Linked DNA regions of Macaca fascicularis. The protein of the gene in region 1 purifies or fractionates together with the protein of each later gene. This does not show direct contact. Links are inferred from orthologs where the notes say so. Each region holds a gene or a part of one and is shown on either strand. Other genes may lie near its edges. The genes, in order: DKC1 and NAF1.

Region 1 (7,925 bases):
GCAGCAGCTGGGCCCCTCACACATGGTGCCATCTCTGCAGGTAAATGCTATCTGCTATGGGGCCAAGATCATGCTTCCAGGTGTTCTTCGATATGAGGATGGCATTGAGGTCAATCAGGAGATTGTGGTTATCACCACCAAAGGAGAGGCAATCTGCATGGGTAAGAGGGGATGTTTATTTTTTAAATTGTAAATGTTTGTGGTTACATAGTAGGTGTATATATTTATGGGGTTCATGAGATGTTTTGACACAGGCATGCAATACATAATAATCACATCGTGGAGAATGGGGCGTCCATCTTAAGCATTTCTCCTTTGTGTTACTAACAATCCTATTTTACTGTTAGTTATTTATCTATCACCTTAGTTATTTTAAAATATACACTTAAGCTATTGATTATAGTCACCCTGTGACTATAATCTATCAAATAGTAGGCTATCAAATAGTAGGTCTTACTCGTCTTGTTCATTCATTTGATTTTTTTGTTTTTGTTGTTGGTGTTTCGTTTTTGTTTTTGCTTTTTAAGAAGACAAGAGTCTTGCTCTTTCGCCCAGACTGGAGTGCAGTGACGTGACTTTGGCTCGCTGCAACCTCTGCTTCCCAGGTTCAAGCAATTCTCGTGACTCAGCCTTCCGAGTAGCTAGGATTACAGGTGCACACCATGACACTTGGCTAATTTTTTGTATTTTTAGTAGAAATGGGGTTTTGCCATGTTGGTCAGGCTGGTCTTGAACTCCTGACCTCAGGTGATCTGCCTTTATTTTTTTTTTTGTACCCATTAACCATCCCTACCTCCCTGCCAGCCTCCAACTACCCTCCCAGTCTCTGGTAACCGTTCTTTTACTCTTCTCTGTCCACGAGTTCAATTGTTTCGATTCTTAGCTCCCACAAATAAGTGAGAACATGCAATGTTTGTCTTTCTATGCCTGACTGATTACACTTAACATGATCTTCAGTTCCATCCATGTTGTTGGAAATGACAGGATCTCATTTTTTTTTAAGGCTGAATAGTATTCCATCGTGTATATGTACCACATTTTCTTTATCCATTTATCTGTTGATGGGCACCTCGGTTGCTTCCAAATCTTGGCTATTGTGATCTCTTTGATAACACTAATTTCCTTTATTTGGGGTATATACCCAGCAGTGGGATTGCTGGATCCTATGATAGCTCAGTTTAGTTTTTTGAGGAACCTCCTAACTGTTCTCCATAGTGGTTGTATCAATTTACCTTCCCACCAACAATGTACAAAGGTTCCCTTTTCTCCACATCCTTTCCAGCATTTGTCATTGTCTGTCTTTTGGATATAAACCATTTTAACTGGAGTGAAATGATGTTTCATTGTAGTTTTGATTTGCATTTCTCTGGTGATCAGCGTTGAGCACCTTTTCATATGCCTGTTTGCCATTTATTTATCTTCTTTTGAGAAGTGTCTATTCAAATATTTTGCCTGTTTTTTGATTGGATTATTAGATTTTTTTCCTATAGCGCCGAGTTCGTTATATATTCTGGTTATAAATCCCTTGTCAGATGGGTAGTTTGCGGATATTTTGTCCCGTTCTTATGCATATGGATATCTAGTTTTCCCAGCACCATTTATTGAAGAGACTGGTTTTTACCCAGTGTATGTTGTTGGTACCTTTGTCAAAAATGAGTTCAATGTGGCTGTGTGGATTTGTTTCTGGGTTCCCTATTCTGTTCCATTGGTTTATGTGCCTGTTTTTATGCCAGTACCATACTATTGTGGTTACTGTAGCTCTATAGTATAATGTGAAGTGAGGTAATGTGATTCCTCTAGGTTTGTTCTTTTTGCTTAGGATCACTTTGGCTAGTTTGAGTCTTTTGTGGTTCCATGTAAAGTACCAGTGTTTTTTAACTCGTGAAAGCTTAGCTACTGTTGGATTGTCTCTTAAGACTTTAAATGCTCTGCACCCTCTTAGCGAATGAACCTTAGAGCTATTCATTTAATGGGTCCAATATGTACCAGAAGTAAGCATGTCATCAGGATTCCTTAGCTCTGTGAGCAGGCAGGCCAGCCATGGCCTATGGACAGCAGCAGAAAAGGAATCCTTAAAACTTCAAAGGTTCTGTGGCCGCAAAGGGAGTGTGCATGCCATTCCTATAGATGTCTTGAGCTGCAAGCCTGTTATGTGTATCGTTAGGTGCTTTGGTTAGGTGTTTTTTAACTTGAGAAGTTTAACATCATTTCAGAAGCCTCCTTCTCATAATGGGGGATTTCTTCCATATGCATATCCTGAGCAAAGGAAACCCCAATTAAAGTAGTAGAGCTCAGAGTTTTGAAAGTGGCATACAACAGTAGAGTTGGGGCTCATCAATTATCAATTCTTTCCCCCTTCAAATAATTCTTTTCTTTATTCAATGCCTGTAGCTATTGCGTTAATGACCACAGCGGTCATCTCTACCTGCGATCATGGTATAGTAGCAAAGATCAAGAGAGTGATCATGGAGAGAGACACTTACCCTCGGAAGTGGGGTTTAGGTCCAAAGGTAAGTGGTACTGGGTTGCGTGCTCTGCCAGGTTCTTTTGTTTGGCATTGTTGAATACTTGGGCAGCTATTGGTGTATTTCACCACCACAGCCTTGTATTGTGCTGGGCTCTGGATTGTTGATGAGTGGAAACAGGCCCTGTCTTGGGCCTTAGAGATTTCAGTCTGAGGGGAAACAGTTGGGCATTACTTACGTAATCACACAGTGGAATGGCAAATTTCATTCATGTTAGTGGCTACCAAGAAGTGCAGAGAGGTGGCTGTCACCTGGAGTGTCCACAGTGCTCAAGGAGTCTGGGCAAGAGATCATCTGTTAAGCCACACCAGTGTGAAGAGTGGATTAGGTGTTGATGAAGTGAAGAGGGGAGGGGAGAGTTCAGGGCAGTGGGAGGCAGCAAGCAGCATGTGCAAAGGCAAAAGAGTAGAGTGGCTGTGGTGGGGACATATGTCTGCAGAGGCTCTCACTAATAAGCTTTGTGACCTTCAACAAGTCCTCTGTGTGTTGGAGTTAGTGGGCGAATTCTGAATGCTCTGGAGAGGAGTTTGAGGCCCTGCTGAGAATACACCAGGGAGGAACCTTGTTCTATTCTTTGCAGTCACCATGCCCGCTTCCGCATTGACACCATTCTAATGTTGACACCTTGATGTTCCACCAGGCAAGTCAGAAGAAGCTGATGATCAAGCAGGGCCTTCTGGACAAGTACGGGAAGCCCACAGAGAGTACGCCTGCCACCTGGAAGCAGGAGTATGTTGACTACAGGTGAGGGCAGGATGTTTCAGAGCCAGGGGTGGGTAGAGACAGCACACATGCTGCCTTGATGCAGGAGTACGTCAACAACAGGTGAGGATGGGAGGGTAGAGAGTGCCCACTTGCCATTTGGATGCAGGAGTACATAGACGACAGGTGAGGGACAGGTGAGCACGGAGGTTGTAGAGCCCAGGGGAGGGGGAGTCACTTGGTTTGGGGCAAACTTGCTAAATGCAGGACCACAGGAACCAGCTCTTTGGCTCCCATGAAGTCTTGGCTGCCCAGGCCAGTTAGGGGTGTGGGCCTGCACGGCAGACAGTTACCCCTTTCTAGTCTGGCTCGTGGGACTCTAGAGGGATTCAGTCTGCAACAGTAAGTGGTGAGTTCTTCTGTCCAGCGTCAGTATTTTGATGGTGGTTTGAGACTTGCCAGATAACACTACATAACATCAGTACTGCCCTGGAAAGCCATTCAGTGAATTTGACTTATTGCTACCTCTTCTCTTTCAGTGAGACTGCCAAAAAAGAGGTGGTTGCTGAAGTGGTAAAAGCCCCGCAGGTAGTTGCCGAAGCAGCAAAAACTGCGAAGGTGAGTGGCATATGCTGTAATCAGTTTGGAATGTGCTTAGGGAGATAATCCTAAGAGGCACTGGCATTCGTCTTACTTTGTGACTGTCTGCAGTCTAGCCATATACCCTGGCGTCAGAGGTGTAGTGCATACACAGGTAATGCTGCCTTATACCCTGGGGTGCTTGTTTGGGCTCTGCAGGCTCCTCTGATTTGTATTCCCTGTCGTATCTGCTGGGAGGAGGAATGTGGGCTCAGGAATCAGATCGGCCTCGACTCCTACCTCAGCTATGGCAGCAACACAGGGATAGAATGGGTGCTGGTGTGTGTGTCATTCTGGCCCCCGCCCTGGGTCAAATGGTAGGACACATGTGTTGAAATCAGAGGCCATGGCTCTTGGACACTCGAGGCCATACGAAATTCAGCAGAGAACAGAATTGCATTTTAACTCGGCACCACCTGGTGTTGAAAGAGTCAGTCAAGCATGGGGTGGCAACTCCACCCCATGTTGCTGCTGGCATTAGTGCACAGAATGACAGGTCTGTACTCAGAAACGGGGGGCGGTACTGAGTATCCTGCACAAGGCTGTGTGGGAGGAGCTTCTGACTTGTCAGATGTGAATTCTTGCTTTGCCTGCTTTCTGTGAGAGGTCCTTGCAGTCGTGAAAGAAACAGCTTCTCTGGGCCTTTCCATCCCCAAGCCCCATGCTGCTGCTGTGCTGCTCCTCTCTGCCTGCCTCAAGGCTTCTTGGATTTGGGGGATGAGACTGTCTTCAAATCCTCAGTAAACTAAAGCCTTGTCCGGGTTTGTAGTCACAAAACGTCCTGTTGGATTCAGTTGGGATCTTTCTCGGTGCCTCACTACCTTTTGACTCACTGAACCTTTCTTGTCCATTATTGCCCAATATCTAACACTTAACCAATTGCTTTCATCTCAGCGGAAGCGAGAGAGTGACAGTGAAAGTGACGAGACCCCTCCAGCAGCTCCTCAGTTGATCAAGAAGGAAAAGAAGAAGAGTAAGAAGGACAAGAAGGCCAAGGCTGGTCTGGAGAGCGGGGCCGAGCCTGGAGATGGGGTGTGTGGAGATATGTTCAGGTTCCTTGGGCTGGCTTAGTCCCTCCATGGGGAAAGAATTACCCAGGTGGTACCAGCTTTGTTACTCTTCTTGGAGGAGCTGTGGCCTGGGGGTGGCATGCGACTGAGTGCCTTTAGTGCTTCCCCATGTTCCTGGACTGCTTTTGCCCTCCCTGTGGAATGGACAGATAGAGGTACTCGGCATCTACCACTTACACTTACAGCTCTATTGACGGTGGGGTGGAGAGGATGTGTAGGATGGTGATCTGAATGTTTCTACTTCCAAAAGTAGACCACTAGGGTGTCACTGAAAGGTTCGCAGAACTTTGTGTCACATGTAGTATTTAACCCAAAATATCCTTACAGGTCCTGAAAAAAGGCTTGCTTGACTGTGGACCTTTACCAGATTTCCTTCTGGGAGAGTGATAGCTTTGTTAGTGGATCCCATGGTATCTATAAGCTTTCATTCTCTTTCTTTCTAGGACAGTGATACCACCAAGAAGAAGAAGAAGAAGAAGAAAGCAAAAGAGGTAGAATTGGTTTCTGAGTAGTGAAGGCCACTTGAAGCATTGTGTCCAGCTGGAGGAGAAACTAAAGCCTTATTAAGAAAACATGTTATAGATCCTTTTGTTGCTGAGAGAGTGGAACATAGGTCCTAGACAGGGTGAAGAGTTCCGGCACATTTTAGCTGCTACTTTGAGACCTCGGTGATGTTACCTGGTGTGGTCATCCCATCTTGTCCTGTTTTAAGGATATGGGTGATGAAAGAGGCAGAGTTTATCCCAATGACTTCTCGGTTTGAGCCTCACCTTCAGACCCAGTAACTGTCCGCAGCTGTCTGCTAGTGGTTGTCTTAACATCATAGTCCTAGTTTGCATTTTTTTATCCCCTCTGTTTATAAGGTTTGTAAAACAAAACAAAAAACTAAGTCTGCTCAGTGAAATGGTGTAGAACCGTAAATAAGTGATAGAAGAGTGTCACTGAATTTTGTCTCTGAATTCAGTATAACTGAGTTTTGTCCATGCTGGTGTCTGACGGGCCTGGTGGTTTTCCATCTTGTTCTGGCCTAGAGGTCAGTCCTTTGCACTTCCTCAAAGCTTCTGTACAGTGTTCACCTAAATCCATCTGACTACTTGTTCCTGTGCCGTCTTGTTTTAGGCCTCGTTTACTTTTAAAGAATGAAATTGTTCATTGCTGGGAGAAGAATGTTGTAATTTTTACTTATTAAAGTCAATTTGTTAAGTTTTTAATGTATTCCTGTTGGGTTTTCTTGTTGGTGATCTCATGCTAGCAGAGCAAAAATTGTAAAATATTTTGATTAAAAATCTAGGGACCTTTATGTTCTATTTGAAGTGTGATGCTTTTATGTTTTCTGGCTTTTACATTTTCGTTCTGTATCTTACACAGTTCACCTTGGGCCCTGTCATCTGATGTGAGTACTCAGGCAGTGATTACCACAAAACCAGTGATCTGTAGAAGAACAGAGGAGAGGGTTGATGTATTTATACATAGTGGGCCTGGCAGGAGGGAGGCAGGGTGAGTCGGGAGAAGGAAGCTGAAAGTTAGGGACATTCAGGAATCTGAAGGCCTTGGTGACAGATTAGTGGAAGAAAGGTCTAGGGTTGCTTCCAATTTGGTATTAAGAGCCAAGAAAGAGGCCGGGTGTGGTGGCTTACACCTGTAATCCCATCAACTTTGGGAGGCTGAGGCAGGCAGATCACCTGAGGTCAGGAGTTTGAGACCAGCCTGGTTAACATGGCAAAACCCATCTCTACTAAAAATACAAAAATTAGCCAGGTGTGGTGGTGTGCACCTGTAATCCCAGCTACTTGGGAGGCTGAGGCAGGAGAGTCCCTTGAACCTGGGAGGTGGAGGTTGCAGTGAGCCGAGATCCTGCCACTGCACTCCAGCCTGGGCAAAGCAGTGAGACTGTCTCAAAAAAAGAAAAAAAGTGTCGCTTCCTGGGGGAGTCCTTGGATGCAGTGAGGAGAGGCCCTGAGCTGTAGCCACATTATGAGCCAGGCGTGCAGAGTGGACCCCAGCCCTGGCTCAGTGACCAGCCTCCACTGTACCACAGGACCCCAGGCTAGGATTTTCTCTAAATATGTGCCCACAATGGGCTTTCCTCCAGATATGACAACCTTAGGGTGTTTTTCTACATGGGCACTAGCCAGTAGAGACCTGCAGTGGGGGCACAGAGAATGGGGATTCTTCCAGGGCACTGGTGTTTATCATCTTGTGTTAATGCCGTTGTCCAGGAGCTTAAGTGAAATGGACCACATTTCTTTGTGTGGAAACCCAGAGTTACAAGGTCATTGGCATTTTAACACAGCATTTTTATTGCTTTTGAAGGTTTCCCTAGAGCAGACGTCATTCTATTGCACAGATGTGTCATTTTGGCATTATAGAAAGTTGCAGTTAAAAACGCTTTCTCCAAAATAAAAAGACAAACGAGATACAGTTGAAGGCAAAGGAGGGCAGGCTTTAGAGGGATGGGGTCGTTGCTTTTGCTGTGCATCATCCTTGATCTAGCAGTTACGTTTTGGTAGTACTGCTTACCCCCAATTTCTAGAAATCCTTTTGAAATCCAGATTACTGGGGCCCCATCTATCAGGAAAATCAAATCCCAACCCTTCAGGAGCCTGAGCAAGAAGACTGAACCCTACTGGCTTAATTAGGATAGCAGCAGAGAGCTGGAAGCTGACACAAAACTAGTTGGAGCAGCCCTGTTTGTCTTAAAGCAAGGGGGGTGGAGTTCCAAATGCTGGAGAGGGGCATACAGTGGGTTCCCCCATTCTATGAGCTTAGTAAACCCAGGAGACAGGCACCCACTGTGGAGAACTGCACGCTTGGTCGAAGGCTTCTTGTAATTTCTTAAGGGTTTCATCAACACTATTATTGACCAGTGAGAGGTCAAAGTAGTGAGCGTACTGGCTGCGGATGGCCTCAGAGTCCTTCTGCAGCTGCTGCAGGGCTTCTGTCTGCAAAGAAGAAAGCCACAGATGAAGCAAGCTGCACCACCCCCAGC
Region 2 (7,905 bases), on another chromosome or scaffold:
CCTGTCTCCTGGAAATCACTGGAAATCTCCAGGGCCAGTTTGTATTACATTGATAAATACATTTAGTATCAGCCCCTCAAGGCACCTGAGTGAGCCTTATGGCTATAATTAATCTTAAAGCCATGATATATCTCTTATAGTATATTTTCCTTAATTTTCCAAGTATCTTCTGTCTTTAGTTTTCCTATTTCATACATCCTTGCATTTACATGGTACATTTCTCTACTATAGTACCTTCTGCTTGTTTTCAACTTGTCTTTTCTACTGAACTGTTAACTCCATAAGGGTAGGGACTGTGTTTATCTTCCTGAATGCATAGTTCATAATGCAGTGCACAGCATATACTAATGTTAAGAAAATGACTACTGAACGAACAAATGAGTATTTCAGTTATCCCATAACTTATGCTTCTGGTCTTAACATTTCTGTCAAATTCCAGTTTCTTATTTTTAAATGCCTACTGACATTTTTAATTGTCTAGTTTTTCTTCAGACTCAACTTCACATACCCACATCTCTTTCCAACTTCTCCATTTTATTTATTTGTTTATAGGGAGTTTCCCTCTTGTTGCCTAGGCTGGAGTGCAACAGCGCAATCTCAGCTCACTGCAGCCTCTGCCTCCTGAGTTTAAGCCATTCTCCTGCCTCAGCCTCCCAAGTAGCTGGGATTACAGGTGCCTGCCACCACGCCCAGCTAAGTTTTTGTATTTTTAGTAGAGATGGGGTTTCGCCATGTTGCCCAGACTGGTCTCAAACTCCTGGCCTCAGGTGATCTGCCCACCTCAGCCTCCCAAAGTGCTGGAAGTACAAGCGTGAGGCCCTGCACCTGGCCAACTTCTCCATTTTTATTGGTAATACCAACTTCTTTCTAATTTCCTTAACCAGAAATTTTAGAGTACTATTATTCTTCCCCTGATACTGGGGATTTCCTTTACTCTATTTCATTGACTGTAACCCTAGTTCAGATTTTTATCACCTAATTCCTGGAAAAATGCAACAAAGTGGCTGGCTGGGGAAAATTCTGGCTCAAATGTCTTCCCTTCTCAAATCTGTACTGCATGTCTTTGCAAGATCATTGCTAACGAAATATTTTATTCATGAGTTCACGCACTGTTCCATTTTCCAAGTATTTTTGCACACCGAGTGTATGACATGCCATTCCCTTATACAAAACCTTACTTAATGCTCACATGAACTAAATGAGAGTATTTTTATCTCCATTTTACAGATAAGTAAATTAGGATTTAGGTTAACTGCCCAAAGTCACAGTTACACCAATCACAAAATGGTAGTTCGTATTTTTATCTGTTTTACTGAAAAGGAAATTAAGATTTAAGTTACCTGCCCAAAGTCAGTTACACCAATCACACAATGGTAGAGCTGAGACCTGAACACAGGTCTTTTTAGTTGAAAACTCTGAGCTCTGCTTAATCATTATGCTAGTAAGTTAGTATACCAAGTTTAAAATCCTTCTTCACTTTGGAGGATTTCCATGATATAGCCTATCAATCCTACTTCCCATTTCTGCTACACTTGGATTTTCTATTTCATATTTCAAATATTTTTCTAGTTATCTCCTGTGCATTGCCCTTCTCTACTTCAAGTAGATTGTAAGCTTCTTAAAACCTTACTCTTATTACACTTGCCTTGCATTTCTATGAAGATCTACTGTTGTAGATGGCACACTAAATTCTCAGTGAATAATTTATAAAATCTTTAGCACAGTCCTTGGCACATATGCCTGTTTAACAAATGGTACCAATGATTATTATTATTACGCAGGGACTGATGCATCACATTGAAGACCTAATAGGAAACCAGAAAATTCTGATCTCTTCCTCAGTCCTAAGAACTCTACTGGCTCTCTCCACAATTTAGACTAGTGGTTTCCAATATGAAGTGAGTACATTTCAGTCTCATAGTCTCATCTCTCTACCACGAAACAGTGCCAGGTATGATATAGACATCACCATAACATGAACAAGACAGCAAAATTTTGACCATTACTACTCTCTTTGAGGGTACCTTGGAGAAAGGAAAATGGAATAGTTGTAGTTACCTTTTTGAAAAAATGGTTAAAGTTCTATTTATTGACAGATGGATCTATTGATGGATAAACTTCATTTAACTTCAAGGCTTCCTGACTCAAGTTTCTCATGTACAGGACCTACCACTCTTCAGGCATCTCCCCTGTTGTATAATCCCTGCTTTATTTTGGCGCTTCAAGCAGAATTGGTTCACGTTCAGCAATATGAAAATCCGACATTCGGGCCTTGAATGGTTCACATGAGGCAGTGAAAACGGTCGATTTAGAACCTCCCCCGCACCCCCACCCCCCGGCCCTGACTTTTTCTTTTCTTTCTTTCTTTCTTTTTTTTTTTTTTTTTTTTTGAGACGGAGTCTCGCTCTGTTGCCAGGCTGGAGTGCAGTGGCGCGGTCTTGGCTCACTGCAACCTCCGCCCGCTGGGTTCAAGCGATTCTCCTGCCTCACCCTCCCAAGTAGCTGGGATTACAGGCACGCGCCACCATGCCCAGTTAATTTTTGTATTTTTAGTAGAGATGGGGTTTGACCATATTGGCCAGGTTGGTCTGTGAACTCCTGACCTTATGATCCGCCCGCCTCGGCCTCCCAAAGTGCTAGGATTACAGGCGTCAGTCACCACTCCGCACCTCCTAGTCCTGATTTTCAAAGGTATGACGCATGTGTCCGGTTCCCGGGGAGGGCCGTCGAGCCGTCGCGCCGTCGCGCCACATACGTCACACGCTATTCGGAAAGCGTTGCTGCGTAAACGGCGGGGGCGTGTCTTTTGGCTCCTCCGCGTGTAGTTACCTGAGAAACGCGGGAAGTTGGGGCCACGGACTGTTGCTTCGGTTGCCTAAGTTGTTTTATTATTTCTGGAGAGAGCCGTAAGCTTGTGTGGGGTCTCAAATCCTGAGGCCGACTCGGTGCCTGGCGCGGTGTGATGGAGGTAGTGGAGGCCGCCGTCGCTCAGCTGGAAACTCTGAAATTCAATGGCACCGATTTCGGAGTTGGCGAAGGTCCGGCGGCGACGTCTCCGGGCTCTGCCCCTGCGCCAGGGACACAGCCGCCGCTACAGTCGTTTGAGGGGTCCCCGGACACTGGGCAGACCGTGGAGGTTAAGACTGCCGGTGAGCAGCCTCTGCAGGCCGTTCTGAACGCAGTAGCGGCCGGGACCCCAGCGTCGCAGCCGCAGCCGCCAGCTGAATCGCCGGCCTGCGGAGGCTGGGTCACCTCTCCAGGAGCCAGAGAGCCTGCGGGGGCCCCGAACTCCTTGGAGACCTCGGACTCGGATTCGGATTCGGACTCGGACAGGTCGGGTGCCTAAGGGACCCGGAGCTGTGGGGAAAGGTCTTGTATGACGGGCGGGGTGGCCGGGGCCTAGGAGCCTAGAGGTTGCCCGTGTGGGCCCTGGAGGGTGGGCAGGTCGCTGGTGCTCCGGTCTCATGTGTTGAAGTATTGGCTGCGACTGCCCTTTATTCGCTGCCTCTCAGAGCAGGTCGCGTTGTGAATCTGAACTTAGTACTCACTACTTTCCTAAATTTGGTAGCCTGAAGAGTTCTATGTATAGATCGTATCATTTTTAGTTAGACTTTAGAAAACCCGAGGATCTTAGGTTGTTTCCGTAACTACTCAGTTCAGGCTGTACTTTTGTGGTTATAATTGAGTTTTGTGTCAGATCTGATTTTTTTTTCCCATCACATGTAGGCTTTGTTTTTTGAACCACATACATTGAGGATCAGGAAAAGGATTATTTTGTGTGTTTCAGAGCTGGCTCTTGACGATTACGTTAATTTGTAGAATCGTTTTAGGGAACACGTGTTTATGAAAGTAGCTAAACAGTGTTATTTAGTAGTATTTTATGCTTCTTACGTTTTGCGAGAGCCTTTCCCCCTTGCCCCCACTTCTGTCTTTTAAATATGAAACCTCTGGGCTGGAGAGGACTCCGGCATGTGGGATGTTACTAAACAACACTGAACATTGTCTACAAATGGTTGAGTGTGTTGAGTGGGGTACTGAACAGGTTAACAAGATAGACACGTGTTGAGGAGGTGAGTAGTTTAGTTTTTAGGGAAGTCGTCAGCAGAGTGGGAGTGAAGAAGGCATGAAGGTAGGAGAAGGGTATGAAATGGACTGGGAGGGGGAAGTAACAACTGTAGACAAGGTTGGATTTCTTGGCAGTACTAAGATTGCGGTATAATCATCTTGTGGGATTTCAGAGCTCATTGTACTAGCAAAGAAAAGTAAATGGTAGATGATTTGGGGATACGTTTTGAAAGCAGAAGGGATATGGCTTCATAATAGGCCAACTTAGTGTCAGGATACTGCTTCTGACTCTTTGTGGGTGATGGCAGAGGATACCAAATATTTGAAGAAGTCAAAAGGGGTACAACTTTTTGCCAGTTAACAGCAGTGGAATCAAATGGAAACTGACGGGGAGAAGCAGGTTTCGTTAGTATAATGCACTTTTTCTTGTTTTAACTTGCTGTGAGTGTGGGTGTATAGGCCGTTCATACAAAAGTGGCCAATATGCCGTCAGAGATTGGACATGAAGTTTAGAGACGTCATAGCCTAAAATTTAGGCGTTAATGTCACATGGATGATGATTGAAATCATTAACATGTACGGGATTATCCATGAAAGTAGTACAGAAAGAAGAGAAAGTGAGGATGGAACCCTTAAAAATAATATATAAAAAGGCTTGAAGTGAGGAGCCAACAAACAAAATTTAAACTGAGACAGTGGTTTCTGTTAACGATAATTTCTGTGGAAGATAAGGACCAAATGAGTTTTCAGAAAGTAGAACGGTCTACATACTTTAGTAACTGAGGATTTCCCAAGTTGTCTGTAGACTGAGAAGAAACTCAAGCGATCTGGCAATTAAGCGATCTGGTTATTGGTGTCTAAGAGAGGTGCCATGCCCAGAATTCCCTTGTTTTAGTGATTTGTCACATGCTTGCTTATACTCACGTGTATGATATGTGAGACTATTGTAATAAGAGAAACTGGGTTATAGCAGAGGTTTGAAAATGTAAAGACTACTTTCCCAATACCATATCAGCTTTGAAGTGCTAGCTTTTGAATTAGAACAGCAGTAGTAAACATGTAGTAAAGTTGATATGTTTTAATTGAATCATCTTATTTTAATATTGTTAGAATAAGCAATAATAAACATGTATTAAAGTTGATATTTCTTAATTGAATAATCTTATTTTAATACATAATAATACTGGACTTTTTTTTTTAACTGTTTTCTTCTCTACAGTGAAACAGATTCAGATAGTTCAAGCTCATCGTCTTCCTCCTCCTCTTCCTCATCGTCATCTTCTTCCTCTTGTATATCACTTCCTCCAGTGCTGTCAGATGGAGATGATGACTTACAAGTTGAGAAGGAAAATAAGAATTTTCCTCTTAAAACAAAAGATGAATTACTTCTTAATGTAAGTACTTAGATGTATTAAGTTTAGTTGGCATGTTTTAAAACATATTCTGGTACCGATATTGTTCTAATTTTGCCTGTATCTGCTCCATAAATTTGAAGTTCATTCTCAGCCTAACCGGCATGCTTTTGGCATGCCTTGGCTTTCTTATATAAAAGAGTAGTGATCTGTATAATTTCTTAGGTTACCTCTAACTCTGCTGACATTTGATAATTTTTCCGATTGTGGCTCAACTTCAGCTTTGAACTTTACATTTCTTACATTTCCTAGAAAAAGATATTTCTTATGTCGATTTGCTTTCTGGTGGTTTTTTTTTTTTTTTTAGGGTCTGCAAGTCAGAAAATTTTGCCCAATAGCAATTGAAATTTTCTTTTTAATTGACTGCATTTAGAGAAGTAGAAGGTGAAATTCAAAGGGTTGAGCTTGTTTGGATTCCTATTGAAGTTTTTGGAGTGTTTTTATTATTACAGTTGGAGAAAACTTGTTAATTTTAGAATGGTTGTTTATTGGCACTTGATAGGTTTGGTTTGCAAAGTTAACTCTTGCAAGGTTATTTCCTCTTACGCTGTAAACATCCTTAGGAGGATGATGTTAGTCTGATTGAAACCTATAACCCAGGAGGAAAGTCTCAGAATTTCAGAACGTAGGCTATATTACCACTTTTTTTTTCCGCCTCTGCATATACTTTTAATTATTAATGCTTTAAAAATATTTAATGGTCACTAATCATAATTCTTATATAACATTTACATTGATGAGATAGTTTAATGCAAGATTTGAAAAAATAAAGCCTACAGGCACTCAGGAACCTTTTTCATGAATGGATTCTACCAGTCTTAATTATTTCTCTTTTTCTCTACTGATAACAAGAAATTCTTATCTCGCTTATGCTTTATACATTGAAAATCTTTGGATTTGTATGCAGCTTCATCAGTGGCTCATATTTTCGTGCTACAGATACGTTAATATTTCTTAGTGGTCTTTGTACACAAAGGCTACCAACATAACTATTTTCTGAAAGTAGGAGACTTGTTTCGTCTTTTTTGCTTGTCTCTTGATCACCTGTCTACATAAGTTCCTTTTAGACTATAATAACCAACAAAGAAAAGACCACAGTACTTCTGTAAATGCATGCATATTGTTGTCTTATCTTACTAGATTTGGAATTCTTACCTTGGGAATTTCTTCAGATTTAATGCAAAGTCTTAGCGTATTTGTTTAGGTGTTTTTTTCTGAACAGAATGTCCCTGTTTTCATCAGGAAATCACAAAGGATTTGTGGCCACAGGGAGTCTAGGAACAAGTTCTTTGAGGACTGAGTTCATATGTGATCCTTGTAACTCCCATAGTACCCAGTGGAGTGCTTTACAGATAATGAGTTCTCAGGCCAAAGTAATTTATGATTATAGAATGAGTGTAAGGCATTTTATATTTATTAATTCTTTAAGAAATTATTATAGCACACCTGCCATTTGCCAGGTGCTGTAAACAAGACCAATCCAGTTTCTGCTCTTGTAGTGTCTAATGGAGGGACACAGACAGTAAATAAAGTGGAGACAAACAAATTTAATTGCTAAAAGTGCTATTGAATTGTGTGAGTGTTATGTTTGCCTCAAAAGACAAAATTCCATTTGAATGTTGTTAGATTTTCCAACTTGGAATGATGGGTTGGTCTGTTCCTTTCTGAGACCATTTCAATGGATATTTGGGAATGATGGAAGAGGGAATTGTAGTCTTTATTTGGGAAACTTATTAGAAGTCCTTCAGACCACTGTGCTACTAGAGATAGGTAGAGGAATTGATGAGTTAGTTTCCCAGTCTGCACTAAATCTCTGGCTTATAGGTCTGAAAGAAGATATAAGGACTTCTTCAGGGTTTCAAATCTTAAGTTTGGGGGAAAAGAATGGCTTTGTCCTGAGTACAAAAGATAGTGTATAGTTACAGGTATGTAGTGTGTTTTAAGAGTCTGCCTCTTTCTCAGGGCTGGCATTTTGACCACTGACAGACTCTTGCATGAAAGTCATGGAGATGACTTTTGCTGGCCTATGCTCTGTTACACAGCCTTGAACAGATCATTGAGGCTAGTGGAATGGATTTTCAGATTGCTTGGCTGTGAGTCACGTAGTCACTCCTGTTTGTGTAGGCGAGTGTGTAGGAGAGAGTGAGGAGAGCATGTGTAGGAAAATGAACACTTGAAAGCACATACGCTAGTGCGAGAGGGTGGAAGTCTGTAAGAGCTAGTTGACAGAAAGGGAGTGTGAATGTGTATGTATTGTGAGGAGGGTGGGATGTTGGGTGTAATATCAGCCCCTATATAAACCACATGGAATGGTTTATCTTTCACAGGAAAGGGAGCTTATATCCATTCCAAAAGGGGATGCTAGACAGACAGTAATAATGGGTTATACTCTATGGAGGGCAATGGAAATACTTGGAAATGGTTATCA

What was found.
Region 2: the proteins of DKC1 (region 1) and NAF1 purify together in Homo sapiens (co-immunoprecipitation; 7 studies listed by BioGRID and IntAct, counting the BioPlex papers as one, with this or other methods). This does not show direct contact. The link is inferred for Macaca fascicularis from reciprocal best matches to the Homo sapiens genes DKC1 and NAF1.

The regions. Positions count from the first base shown.
Region 1 is NC_088395.1:160,881,788-160,889,712, forward strand, and holds the end of DKC1 (H/ACA ribonucleoprotein complex subunit DKC1), read left to right. Parts: intron 1-40; coding exon 41-161; intron 162-2,391; coding exon 2,392-2,510; intron 2,511-3,165; coding exon 3,166-3,269; intron 3,270-3,566; exon of another isoform or gene 3,567-3,695; intron 3,696-3,766; coding exon 3,767-3,845; intron 3,846-4,760; coding exon 4,761-4,898; intron 4,899-5,379; coding exon 5,380-5,448; 3' UTR 5,449-6,243; downstream 6,244-7,925. Other genes in the region: MPP1 (55 kDa erythrocyte membrane protein), read right to left, coding at 7,702-7,878.
Region 2 is NC_088379.1:168,111,568-168,119,472, reverse strand, and holds the start of NAF1 (H/ACA ribonucleoprotein complex non-core subunit NAF1), read left to right. Parts: upstream 1-2,819; 5' UTR 2,820-2,962; coding exon 2,963-3,333; intron 3,334-5,284; coding exon 5,285-5,459; intron 5,460-7,905. UniProt on the Homo sapiens protein: RNA-binding protein required for the maturation of box H/ACA snoRNPs complex and ribosome biogenesis.